2 linked regions of the Cricetulus griseus genome follow. The protein of the gene in region 1 purifies or fractionates together with the protein of each later gene. This does not show direct contact. Links are inferred from orthologs where the notes say so. Each region holds a gene or a part of one and is shown on either strand. Other genes may lie near its edges.

What was found.
Region 2: the proteins of Fntb (region 1) and Dyrk1a purify together in Homo sapiens (affinity purification with mass spectrometry; 3 studies listed by BioGRID, counting the BioPlex papers as one). This does not show direct contact. The link is inferred for Cricetulus griseus from reciprocal best matches to the Homo sapiens genes FNTB and DYRK1A.

Annotation. Positions count from the first base shown.
Region 1 is NC_048598.1:126,622,048-126,629,115, reverse strand, and holds part of Fntb (protein farnesyltransferase subunit beta), read left to right. Parts: intron 1-4,933; coding exon 4,934-5,063; intron 5,064-7,068. UniProt on the Homo sapiens protein: Essential subunit of the farnesyltransferase complex. Catalyzes the transfer of a farnesyl moiety from farnesyl diphosphate to a cysteine at the fourth position from the C-terminus of several proteins having the C-terminal sequence Cys-aliphatic-aliphatic-X.
Region 2 is NC_048597.1:3,176,862-3,183,929, reverse strand, and holds part of Dyrk1a (dual specificity tyrosine-phosphorylation-regulated kinase 1A), read left to right. Parts: intron 1-2,408; coding exon 2,409-2,709; intron 2,710-3,455; coding exon 3,456-3,580; intron 3,581-7,068. UniProt on the Homo sapiens protein: Dual-specificity kinase which possesses both serine/threonine and tyrosine kinase activities. Exhibits a substrate preference for proline at position P+1 and arginine at position P-3.

The sequences.
Region 1 (7,068 bases):
AGCATTACACAGCCCTTATATTCTTTCCAACCCTGGTCAGATGTTCTCTGAGCTGTAGAGGGAGCTCAACATCACTTATTCTCATCTCCTTATCAGCTGTACGTGTTTACATTCACCACCATTAATTGAGGAAGCAGGCTTCTCTGCTTAATGTTGAAAGGGACATTCGGGGCCTCATGTGGCAGATTGACCTAATGGTTTTTATTAAGCCCGTTGAGGGTCTGTTTCTATCTCTTAACTTTTTCTTGTATTTTCCAAGACCTTCCCTTACTATTTATCTTCTCATCTTTCTGTTGCGGTTTCATTCTCTAATCTTGCTTTTAATTTTCCAGAGTTCAGTTGCCCCCCTCCTGAGTACTCATTTTTTATATTCTCAGATGTTCTGCTCTGTCATCCTTGTAACTTTCTTCATATGGTATTATCTAAGATACAACTTTAAGAGGCTACAGAGATGGCTCAACAGTTATGAGCACCGGCTACTCTTTCAGAGGACCTGGGTTCAAGTCCCAGCAACCACATACATGGCAGCTCACAACCTACTATAATTACAGTTCCCAGGGGATCTGATGCCCTTTTCTGGCTTCCATGAACACTGCGCACGGTGTACAAACATACATGCATGCAAAACACCCACACACTAAAACTAAATAAGTCTTTAAAAAATAAAAAATAAGACGGAACATTAAGCAGTTTTCTTCTGTGCCCAGCATTGTCTCCTTTGCTTTTGAGGATGGGTCTCTCGTTCATACTGGAGATTTGTGCACACATCTAGTGCTTAGCTACTCTGTTCATATGGAGTCCATCACTAAAAGGCTGATGAGAAGTCATTACATGAAAGTGAGCCAAGGGGCTGGAGGGATGGCTCAGAGTTTAAGAGCACTGCTTCTCCACCACTGACCCAGAACTGAGGAAGGCTTCTCTAACCAGCTGTTTAGGGACCCTTAGCCCTGTCATCTAGCTTTTAGGGTTTTGTTGTTAGCCTGTGTTCATGTCCTCTCCTGTTTGCAAGCTCCTCTCTCTCCCTCTCCCTCTCCCTCTCCCTCTCCCTCTCTCTCCCTCTCTCTCCTTCTCCCTCTCCCTCTTCCTCTCCCTCTCCCTCCTCCTCTCTCCAGGTGTAACCCTGACTGTCCTGGAACAGAGGACATCTGCCTCTGCCTCTGCCTCTGCCTCTGCCTCTGCCTCTGCCTCCCGAGTGCTGAGATTAAAGGAGTGTGCCACCAACACCCTGCCTCTTCTGCTTTCTTTACCCTGGCCATTTGTACCTTTTACATCCTCTTATTTCCATTTTATTGGGCTCTGGTAGTCAGTCCTTTATGTTGCCCAACTGTGTGTTGATGACAGGATCTCATGAAGCCCAAACTGGCCTTGCACTTGCTATATAGTTGAGTTTGGCCATGAACTCTCATTTTCTTCTACCTCTAAGTGCTGGGATTACAGGCAATATGCCACCATGGTCATTTCCAAAGAGTTTTATTAACTGAAAAAAAAAAAAAAAAGCAAGGCACAGAAGAGGTTGTATCGTGTTCCTCTTTGTGTAAAAAACAAGAAAAGGAAAGCAGAACATGTGTCTGTAGTGTGTAGATAAAACATGCTATTTGGGCTGGAGAGATGGCTCAGAGGTTAAGAGCACTGACTGCTCTTCCAGAGGTCCTGAGTTCAATTCCCGGCAACCACATGGTGGCTCACAACCACCTTGAATGAGATCTGGTGCCCTCCTCTGGCCTGCAGGACACATGCAGGCAGGAGACTGTATACTTAATAAATAAAATTTTTAAGAAACAAACAAACAAACAAACAAAAAAACCATGCTTGTTATAGTTAGGCAAGGAGAAAGTCCTAGTTTTGTTTCCTGTTGTTTTTATAAAAATATCCTTTCAGAAATCATTTGGTGGAGGGTGGTGGTGGTTTGTTTTAGCTCAGAAGTCTAGGTTACATCATAGACAGAAGTAAGTAAAGGCAACAGGAACTTGCTAGTCAAGAGCAGAAAGAAATGGATGCATGTGTGCCCACTAGTGCTCAGCCCACTCTCCCACTCTTACTCTGCTAGTGCTCAGCCCACTCCCCCACCCTTACACTGCTCAGGACCCAACCCAGGATCCAGTGCTGCCCTCAGTGGGCTGGGCTTTCCCACATCAGTGAACACAGTCAAGACACTCTCCCACAGACACGCCCACAGGCCAGCCTTCTAGACAGTCCTTCATTGAAGCTCTCCCCAGGTGACTCCAGATTGTGTCAAGATGACAATTAAAACTAGTTATCATACATATTTTGTTGTTGCTTTTCTTTTTCTTGAGACAGAGGCACACTGTGTAGCCATGGCTGACCTGAAAGTCACAGAGATCCACCAGTATCTGTTTCCCAAGTGCTGGGTCTAACAGCATGTGTGGCTTCAGACCTTTTTTTTTTTTTTTAATGTATTTTCTTCCAGTGTTCTGGAAATTCAATAATATAGCACATTGTTATTTTCTAGTATTTCCTATAAGAAGTGAGGCATTTTCATAACCAGATCTGTAACACTATTTAAACACTGGATAGTAGTTTGTTGTCAGATGTGCCATAATTTATAGAAGAGCCCCTCCTCCCCCACATTTGAACTTCTAAGTTGGCCTGACACTCTGCTCTTAAAAAAGGAATGTAGCCAACATTCTTACAGTGTGCTCCTTGGACACACTATTGCTTATTGTGTAAAGTCAGTTCCTAGAAATGGCCCTGCCTGGCTGATCCATAGATTCTGCATGGGCCGGGGAGACGGCAGTAGATAAGGCCCTTGCTGTGCAAACATGAGGACCAGAGGTCAGATCCTCAGCACCGTGTAAACTCTGGGCAGTCATGGCAGCTGCCTGTAATCCCAGCTCTTGGCTGACAGAAACCGGACATTCCCTGGGCAATGTGAGACACCAATTCCCTGGGCAATGTGAGACCAGCCAGACTGGTCAGAATTGGTGAGCTCCAGGCTCACCCAGAATCCACCTCAATAAATAAAATAGAGATCCATCAAAGAAGATGCTAAAGCCAACTTCAGGCCTGCACACGAGCCTGCACACACGTGCATGCTCACCCAGGAATGTGTATGTACACCTGCCATGCACACGCACATATGCACACATGTATGCACACCACACGTACATATATATGCTCATGCTTTCTGATTAGAAAACACACTATTAATAGGTAGTATAACCCCAAATAACATTTATCACAATAAATGGATATTTTCTTTTACTTTTTAGATTTTTGAAACTGTCTTATGTAGCTCTCGATGGTCTGGAACTAGCTCATGTAGAGCAGGCTGGCCCCCAATTCAGAGATCTGCCTGCCTCTGCCTCCCAGGTACGGGGACTAAAGATGTGTGCTATTACACCATCTTAGATATTTTAAATATATAGAAAATCCTAAAATTTAAAAATAAAGTTTATTTTTGAGCATTTACAAGCTGGGAACAGTCTTATACTTAAGGTTTTATTGTTTGTATGTTTGTTTGAGACAGGATCTCCTCTGTAGCCAGGCAATCCTCTCGCCTCAGCCTTCTAACTCCTGAAATTACAGGCATGAGCCATCACACCCGGCTATTTCAGTTACTGGAGAAGCTGAGGTGAAAGGATCACTTGAGCCCACCTGGGCAACACAGTAACACATAGCTCAATTTTTTTTTAAGTGTGTGTGTGTGTGTGTGTGTGTGTGTGTGTGTGTGTGTGTGTGTGTGTTAGGAATTTTAAGCCAGGCAGCCTGGTAGTGTGGGTTTGTATTCCAACTACTCCAGAGCCTAAAACAAGAGCATCCCCAAAGCAGTTCCTGCCAGGGCTACAGAGTGAGTATAAGGCCAGCCTGGGCAACTTAGGGAGACCTATGTCACAAAACAAAGAGTGGGCTGAGGTCTGGCTCAGTAGTAGAGTGCTTGCTTGTCTGGCATGTACAACACTCTGGGTTTGCGCTCCAGTACCACCAAAACAAATAATAATAATAAAAAACAAAAACAAAACATCTCCCCCAAAATCTGAGGCATGGTGTCTCACATCTGCATCCCAGCACTTGAAGGGTGGAGGTAACACAAGACAGGGGCATCAGAAAGCTCAAGGATAGCCTGGGCTACATGAAGTCCCATCTCAAACAGAAACAGAAAAGAAAGAAATAAGAGAAATATATAGAAATAAGAGAGGTGGGATGTGGCTCAGTAGTATAGCACTTGACCCGCATCTGTGAAGTCCTGAGTTTGGTCTCCAGAGCTAGAGTTAAAAAGAAGAAACTAGACAAAAATAAAACACACTCACTAATAGACCTGGTACTCACAGATAACCAAAGCCAGCAATTATTTTTCGATTTTACTTTAACTTGATGATTCTGGTATGTATAGGGACTTTGAGACTTTCCCCCAGTGAGTACTAACCTGTGCTACTATCTCTCTTACATAAGTGGACAGCTTCTAAATCTCCAAGTCTTTTGGTTTTGTTTTCTAGGGAAAGGAATCTGCAAACATGAATACGTCAGGGTCTGGGGAGATAGTTCAGCCCCCAAAGTGCTTCCTGCACGGCATGAGGCTCTGAATCCAACCCCCAATAGCCATGTGAAAAGGCAGGCATTGTGGCACATGCCTGTCATCCCAGCACTGGGGAGGCAGATTTAGGGGATCACCAGAATTGATTGGCCAATACATCCTAGCCAAAAATATGAGCCCCAGGTTCTAGTGAGAGACTCTCAAAAAGCAAAGTAGATAGCTATCCTGAGGAGCGACACCCAAAGCTGACTTCTGGCCTCCACATGCACGCACACACACATGTATACATGCATACAAGTTAATAAATCAGCATACTTGTATCCATGAGAGTAATGGCTTCTGCTTTAATCAGAGCAAACTTATTCTCTGTACCCAGGATATGGGGAGGACACTTGTCCCCATCTACACACTTGCCATGTCTTCCTTTTCCCACTCTCGTAGGTGCCAGAACTGGGAAGGCGGCATTGGTGGAGTGCCAGGGATGGAAGCCCATGGTGGCTACACCTTCTGTGGCTTGGCTGCGCTGGTAATCCTCAAGAAGGAACGCTCTTTGAAACTGAAGAACTTGCTAGTGAGTAGCTGTTGCACCATCCTCTCCCCAAGCCCTGGTCTGGTGATGGCATTCTGGGACCATGGGAGGTCTGTGATGGGAAGGGCTGCAGAGCTCTAGCCTTAGCGCAGACTCCTAGTCCCAGTAGGAAGCTTCCAGTGCAGTTGTCGTGCTCAGCACCGTTGTAAGTCAGTTGAAAGAGCAGACAACTGTTCTCATTGACTCCCCTCTCCTACCTCTCCGTCTGGCTGCTTTGAAGTTTCTGCACAGACTGAGTGGTCTTGAGTCCTCTGGCCACCTGGAATGAGCCCCCAAACCCAAGAAAAATAGCTACGGTCCCTTAGGATTCAGTATTATCATGTGTCTTAGAATCTTCTAAGAGAAGAAGCTGTAAGAAGAGCTTTGAAGTATTTTAGGGCCAAAGATTTATTACCTGTGAAAACTTCCCATTACCAGTGAAAATTCCGTATCTGCATTCCAGCAAGTTCTCCAGCCAGAGCAGGAGAATTGTTATCAGGAGGTCTGGACATGTCTTCTAGACCCTAAGCTCTTGGCCAGTGTTCAGAAATCAGTCAGCTTAAGAGAAGCCTAGAACACACAGAGAGTGTATTCCCTTTGTCTTTTAGGGAGCATGTGCTCCCCTGGCCATCATCAAAGCAAACCAGCTACAACTGACATTCAGCTCTCTGTGAGTGCAGATGCCAGGCCCTCATTGTTGAGCCATTGTGAGCCCTCTAGAGAGTTGCTTTTATATTTTGTGGTGTGACAAGCAGCATTTTGCCCTCATTGTGTAAGAGAGAAAGCCTCTCACATGGCATACTCTATGAAGGTTCTGGAAAATTGATATCGAATGACCCACTTGTAGAGACATTTTAAAGTCTGATCACTACCAAGAGATGAAATGTAAAGTCCCAAGTTGTAGGCAAAAATAAAGAATATAATAGTGCTTGCCTAAGTTACAATGACAATAGTGTAGGTTTGAACCCCTCCTCATCTTCTCAGCCAAGACACCCTGGACCAGTTGTCTAATCTGCTTTAGCTGCACTGTCTCTTTTCCTTCCGGAAGGTAGGGCTAATAATCAGTATTCTCTGAGGATTAGAGAAGAGAGCATACATAAGCAGCCTTGTAGAGGGGAGGTGCTCCATACATGTCAGCCCTCTCTTTCCCAGGGACCCCCTTCCCTCCCTTTGCTGTAAATAACCAACACCTGAGTCAGTGGTGGTGGTGGTGGTGATGGTGGTGGCGGTGGTGGTGCAAGCTTTTAGTGCCAACACCAGGGAGGCAGAGATAGATAGAGCTCTGAGTTCAAGGCCAGCCTAGTCTACAGAGTGAGTTCCAGGACACTCGGGACTACACAGAGAAACCCTGTCTCAAAAAAACAAGAGGGGGAGGGGACCAACATCTCTATCTGAGGGCCTTTGACATCCTATAGGCAAGGAATGTGGAACCAACCCATGGCTTTAGACACTGGAACAAAAACAGTTAGGCTGGTTTGAATCCACTCACATTGTGGGGTCCCCCAGTCTCCCACCCCTGCTTTCCTTTTGAATGCTTAGCCTACTGCCATTAAATGGCAATCCCTGAAGCATAGTTTCATTTAAGACTGACTAGGGAGGTGTTACTACCTAAACCCACAAGATTTTGTCCCTTTAGGAATCTGAGACTGACTTTTGCGCTGCCATGACCAGGGATGTAATCTAAACTCCATTATAGTTACGGGCGGTCCAGGTTTCCCTCTAGAGAGTTCCTTGGGTCTACGCTCAGGAACTTGCTCTAGGAGGGCTCCAGATGTTGGGCATAGCACACTGTTCCCTTTCAGTCCAGTGCTGCAGCTCTGAGACCTGGGGCTGGGAGGGAAGAGTGTTGTATCTGCTCAGCCAGTTGGTTCTGCTCATCCCTCCAGGGCTATCTTGATGTTGTGTGTTCAGGAAATGTGATAAGCCAGGAGTGGTGATGTCCTGTGTGGCCTCTGGGTGACAGTATATAGCTTCAGAATAAGGTTTTCCTTACATCACCTAACCAGGT
Region 2 (7,068 bases), on another chromosome or scaffold:
TCGTCAGAGTATTCTGAAGTGTCCTAATGTAGCTTGTGACTGCTTCTCCAACTCACAATTATCTTGTTACACAATTTCAAGTTATTTGAGAATTTTCTTGACATCTTAACTCATCTCTCAATAAATAGCACTGTGGTTTCAAAATGTGTTTTTACTCATTTAAAATTTATAGTCTGGTTTTATAGCCTAGTATGTAATCTATCTTGATGATTCTTGTGTACTTGTTAAAAATTGTATTTTGTTGTGGTGGTCTGAAGATGTGTGTGTGTGTGTGCGTGTGTGCGTGTGTGCGTGTGTGCGTGTGTGCGTGTGTGCGTGTGTGCGTGTGTGCGTGTGTGCGTGTGTGCGTGTGTGCGTGTGTGTGTGCGTGTGTGTGTGCGTGTGTGCGTGTGTGCGTGTGTGTGTGTGTGTGTGCGTGTGTGCGTGTGTGCGTGTGTGCGTGTGTGCGTGTGTGCGTGTGTGCGTGTGTGCGTGTGTGTGTGTGTGTGTGTGTGTGTGTGTTTCTGTCAATGCAGAGAGGCATTTTGATCCCTGGTAGCATATTAGTTGCTTTTCCTGCCACTAATAAATACCTGGCGGGAAGCAACGTGGGGAGGAAGGCTTTCCTTCACGTCACTGTCTGAGAGAATGCAGTCCTCACTGCCTGTGGGGACATGGGTCTAGAGTTGTAGATTAGCCTGCCCCACGCCTTCAGAAAGATGGTCTGGCCGCTCTTGATTGCAGTGCCTGTGAAGAGGGTTGACGTTGGCTCTTAGCACTGTGTATCTGTGATGTGGTTCCCTTCTCTTTGGGGTGATTAAAACACTGTCTTTGAGCTTGATTTTTGTGTATGTACATTTGTTTGTATTCTCCTGGTGTGTGTTGACATCCTTGCATTTGTGGGCTCATCTCTTTTGGAGGTGCTCGGGTGTTACCAGATAGTCACTTTGCTCAGTCTTTCTCTAGCTCTTCAGTTGCATAGATGGCCGTCAGCTTAGTGCACCTGTCCTTGTTTCTTATAAAATCAGTTTCCTCTTCTGAGACTCTGTCCAGTCACATGTGCTGTCTGCATTTTTAACTATACACCTTCCATTCATTATTTAAAATACCTGCCTGCCAGTTTCACTGCCTGGGTCATTTACTGGTATAGATTGGTTGATAACCCATTTTCCCCACTAAATTATGGGCTCTGTTGTTGGTGTAATTCTTTAAGAGTCTGTCTCTCTTTTGAGAATGGTTGAGATTTTAAGTGTCGTTTTCCGTGGGAAGCAGCACACATGTCTTGTGCACTGCCAGGCCACTAGAATAGATAGGGCTGGCATTAGCTGAATCTGGAGTTGAGTGTTTGGTGCAGTTTGTGCTTGTTTTTTTTTTTTTTTTTTTTTAACCATGAGGAGGAGGCTCCTTCAGGCATCATGTGCTTGTGGCTGGAGGGGTCTGGAGCTCTGTGTGCTTTGACACCCACCAGCAGCCCAGCTGTTCACCTTCTGGCTGCCCACATGTGCTGTCAGGGTGTGGTCAGAACTAGGCTGGACTGTCCTTGCTCATGTCTGCCTTGCTGGCTCTCTTCCCATTAAAGGGCTCTTCTAACCTGATAGTGGCTGCCTGGGGTTGTGGTTACTGGGAGACACTTCTGACTGTGCTCATGTGTGATTTGTCCTGCTTCTTCACTTTAAGGGACCATCTGAAAAATCCCTACACTGTCACCCAAAGTCCAGTGGTTCTGCTGTGACCTTGGTGTTTTAGAGAGGTGTGGGGTATCCGAGCAGACTAGTGTAGACCAATGTGTTTTCACTCTGAGTGGTGCATACAGCTTTAATGAGCCACCCCACCATTAGGGAGGCAGTGCAGTGTGCTCTCGGGGTGCAGAGGCAACCTGGCATCGTGGTAGACACCCTTAACCCTAGTTCCACTATTGGCAGAGGCAGGCAGGTTTCTGTGAGTTTAAGTCAGCCTAGTCTATGTAGTTAGTTGTAGGCCTGGCAAGTCTACATAGTGAGACCCTGTCTCAGAACAAACAAACAAAACTTAGGTACAGAGTAGAAGAGGTCAGAACCCATACTTCTACAGACACCTTCACAGTGATTGTTTTATACTTGTGGTTTCTGTGCCGCCCCGTGTTTACTTGCTTGTGTGCTTTTTTCACAATCATGTTCCTGGGTGAAGTTGTATGAGCGCTGCTATAGGCTGGCCATCTTCTGTGTGCTTGCTGCTGAGCTACACTGATCTTCATAGCCTTGAGTTGTTTGCAAAGCTGTATTGGATTTCGTAGCCACGTGTGTTGTGTGCAGAAGTAGGGCGTCTAGCCATCTCAGGAATTGTCTTCCTCACAAAGCCTTGTACATGTAAGTGCCTCGGATATGTGGAGTAAATCATGCAAATGTTACATCCCCACAAAACTTAGAGACAGCTTTTGTTTTCTCTAACAGGAGTACAAACCACCAGGAACCCGTAAACTTCATAATATCCTTGGAGTAGAGACAGGAGGGCCCGGCGGACGGCGAGCTGGGGAATCGGGTCATACTGTAGCCGACTACTTGAAGTTCAAAGACCTCATTTTAAGGATGCTTGATTATGACCCCAAAACTCGGATTCAACCTTATTATGCCCTGCAGCACAGTTTTTTCAAGAAGACAGCTGATGAAGGTACAAACACGAGTAACAGCGTGTCTACCAGCCCCGCGATGGAGCAGTCTTCAGGCACCACCTCCAGCACGTCATCCAGCTCAGGTCTGCCGCCCACTCACCTCGGGTCTTGCTTGCACGTGCTTTCTGTTTGCTTGCTAGAGTGGGATTCTTTTAAAGTATTGATAAACTAATTTTTAAATTTTAATTCATAAAGTAAAGCAAGGGATTGTTTTACTTAAGTGTTGTTTGTATGTGTGTGGCCTTAGTCTGGTCACCTGTAAGAACCTCCTTTCTGTATAGTTAGCAAATTCAGTCTGTGATTATGTGTGTGGTAATTGTCTGCCTGACAGTTGGAAACAAAGCTACGTGTTAGCTAAATTTCTAAGTGATTTTAAATGGAGTTATTTTTCAACATCTTGAATTTTTCCTTGACTTAGGCGAACTTGGCTATATTAGTGGCTGATGTGGGGAGATGTCTTCTGAGGCTCAGGAACATGTTGTTTTTCAAGTTAATACCATAGTTTGAAGGTTTTGTGTGTCTTTATATGTGCCATGTGGTACATTTATCTGAGTGTGCATACGCACACCCCTGAGGTCACACATGGAGGCATGACACTGTCTGCCTTACTCCCTAACAACACAAGTCTCACTGTACCAGGCGGCCGCCTGTTTGAGCCAGGCTGGCCAGTGAGTTCTTGGGACTTGTCTCCTTCTGAAGCCCTGGCGTTGTAGTCAGCCTGGCCTTTCACAGGGCACAGCAGCACTGAGTGTCTCCCTCCCTGTGTTAAGAGTTGTAAGGAGCAGAGCTCACACTAAGCTCACAAGTGTTCCCTCTCCTGATACTGAAGGTGGATCCTCGGGCACGAGCAACAGTGGGAGAGCCCGGTCAGACCCAACGCACCAGCACCGGCACAGTGGTGGACACTTCACGGCTGCTGTCCAGGCTATGGACTGTGAGACACACAGTCCCCAGGTGAGCTCTCCCTCCCGGGCTCATGTCATGGCCCACTAGCTTTAGCTGTGGCAGCTGCCAAGGGCTGTTAGGATGTTTGTGTCTGTGATGTCCTCACTGCTGGAGGCGAGAGGACACCCTGGTAACTCTCCTCCTCCTTGGTAGAAATGATGAGAGCATGCACTGGATACACCCCACTGCCCTTTCAGGCATTTCCCCATTTATTCCGTCATTTGCCACAGCAGCTCCTGTGCCCCGTGCAGTTTGACCCCACTTTTTGGTGGTGCCGAGACTGCAGATGCCGCCAGTCTCCCTGAGCTACACAGTCTGGGTCTCTGTCGTCGCCTCTTGTGACTGCACTCCCAGACCTGGTTTCTGAATCAGTCTGTATTTTTGTTTTTAACTTTGTTTTTCTTTTTAAACTTACTGATTTCAGGAGCCTTAGCATTAAAGTGATTTTTTACCTAACTTTAAAATGAGTGTGAAGCAGGTGGTGGTGGTAGAAATGTGAACCCTGCTCACTCTTCGCTGCTGTGACAGAAGTAGCACGGAAGGAAGTCATTCATTCTGTTAGGGCAGGCAGGATGGGCGGGCGGGCGGGAGCAGGAGGTTCCCTGCTCGCAGCGCCTCTCTCTCTCTCTCTCTCTCTCTCTCTCTCTCTCTCTCTCTCTCTCTCTCTCCCTCTCTCTCTCTCTCTCTCTCTCTCTCTCTCTCTCTCTCTCTCTCTCTGCCTGGGGCTGGGCTACAGAGCCTCCTTCTGCAGGGGCTAGTGCCAGCGGGGAACAGTGGGAGGGGTTTCCTGTTCAGACAAGAGCTCATGATGTTATGAGACAGCATGCCTCCACACTGTCTGCCACATTGTGGTTTGTTTTTTTGTTTGTTTGTTTTTGTGGTGAGAGACCAGGCAGTTACTTGGTGGAGTAAGTAAAACCTATGCTAGATTGGTAGTTCCCTTTCTGTGACTGGGCCTCTTGGTTCTGCTGAAGAAACCCTCACATAGTTGTCATCCCTGTTAGCATCCACCAAACTCTATTAGGTAATTACACACTTCTCAGAGTCCCATCTCCCTCTGTTCTCTGTAAAATGCTGCAGAGTTTTCTACTCTCTCTGACTCCCCTGCCTTGGATGGGGTATTCAGACAGTCACTCTCCATGTTGTGCAGTGGTGCCTGTGCACACAGTTGTGTGGGTCCTAGGCAGTTGGACTCAGGGCAGCAGGGTTAGTGGCAAGTGCCTTATCTGCTGAGCCATCTAGCTGGCCAGTTTTTGAACAGTTGATACAGTGGCATGGTAACAAAAAAAAAAAAAAAGAAATAGCACACAGGGTTGTGAAAAGTCCTTTATCATGTCCACTAGTTTAGTACAAACTAACATTAGTAGCTTTTATATCTTTGAAAAGATATTCTTCATGTAAAAGTCAATCTAATTATATGTCATCAGATAATATGTATTAGCCAGGCAGTGTTTTATATGCATATACAATATTCTATACACATCCAAACACCTACTCTAGGTATGGTATGCACTCCAGCCTGTATATAAGCTGTCGTACCGCACATACTTTTACATCTAGGTTTTTATGCATTTGGCATGAATGTGATATCCTTCCTATATCAAAATAAGGGATGCTTTTATCCTGTCTCATGGTGTTATATTATCTAAATATTCATGAATCATTTCATTCATAGCTTATTAGTGGGCATTTTGTCTACTTCCAGTCATTTTTGCTATTTATAATGGCATAATAAAAAAAATCTTTATATGTGTGGCAGGGGTGAGGTAATGGTGTTACCCACCTTTAATCCTAGCACTCAGGAGACAGAGGGAGGTGGATCTCTGTAGACCAGGCTGGGCTTGAACTCATAGATCCACCTGCCTCTTACCCCCCAAGAGCTGGGATTAAAAGTGTTTACCACCACCGCCTGGTTTATAATTTTATAATTAACCATTTGCTAATGAGTCCAGCACATGAGCGTCATGCTAAGCACGTAGCTCTGTCAGACAGCACCCTACTGCAGTCCGTGTTGGGATTTGTTTATTCTGCCAGTGTCATCTTTCTCCTTGCCTAAGGTTATAGGTGTGCATCAGGGGTTGGCCTGTCCCGTGGGTAGCAAGGCCCTTCCATACAGGGTGGACGGCAGTATCAAGTACTCCTTATCTGAGGGTGCTGGGACTCCAAGCACTTCGATTTCAGTTCTTTTAGATTTTGCTGTAGCTGTTCACTTTTTACCAGTTGAATGTCCCTAATCTGAAATTGTTAAATGCTCTCATTTCAAGTGTTTCATACCAGAGTAAGGATGTTCAACCTGCATTTTCTTTTGTGAGATTATCTTCCAGTTTTGTCCTCCCCTACTGGATTTTCAGGACTTTTCATTCCCATGTAACTTTTATTAAATAAGAACTTAACATTTTGTGCTAAACTAGTGGTAGAGACAGCTTTTGCCTTTTCAGAGGTTACATTGACACAAGTAAGCAGCAAAACACAAAAATGGCAAGTGATACTTACAGAAAGGGAAAGTCTAGAGGTGTGCGCCTCTGGGGAGTTACCTTCATGGTGGTGGCAAAGCCCTGGGCAGTGCAGACTCCAGTGCAGGCAGCCAAGGCTCGTGAGGTATAGTGACTAACAGACTAACTGCACACTATCTGAGTAAATCTGAGAGGATGCAAGAGTTTTCCCTCCTTGAGTGTAACAGAGAAGCAGCTGATGCAGTGTCCAGAGCACTGCTGTGTCGCCCCCGTGTGACTCCACGTGCCCTCAGGTCAGCTGCCCAGGCCATGGTGCCCAGCAGACAGACCTAACTGCACTAGATACAGTGAGTGACATCTAAAGTCACGCTCATTTCAGCCACAGTTGTGCTGATGGCTGTGCCCAGCATGAAGGGGGCTGGAGAGTCCGGTACAGTCATGTTGTACATAGAGGGGCACATCAGTAGCCTGGCCACAGAGGGCTGGGGCAGCATGAGTCAGAACATCCGGGAACTCAGGAACTGACATGGCGATTTTAAAAGGGGAATGTAAGCAAAGATTAGAAATAAACGTGCTCTTGATGGGAGAAAGCAGCAAGTGCAGATGCCATGAGTCTCAGGTCAGGTCAGGGTGAGAAGGGTCTGGGGAGATTGGGATCCAAGTCCGTAAAGGAATGAGTTGATTTTTGTTTTGAAAGGATAGTCTTGCTTTTCTCAATGGGTTGAGAAGAACAACTGTGGAAGCGGGGGGGCGGGGGGGGGTGTTAAATTTTTTATTTTGTGAAGAGGCCTTTGCATTAGCCTAGGCTAAGTGGTAGTGGTGATGGCGGTAAGAAAAGTGGTCAGATTTGGGATCTGGTCTGAGGTATCTCTTTGGTACTTCATGCTGGGTTGAGTCCGGAGGAATTGTCAGACATCTGGGTGGATACGAGTCCTTTTATTGTATCAAGAGATCTGGAAGGAAGAGGGACTTCAAGGGGAAATGAAGGCTCTCATGGACCTGCCAGATGTCCTGGTGGTTCCTTATAGAAAGCTTACTGACCTG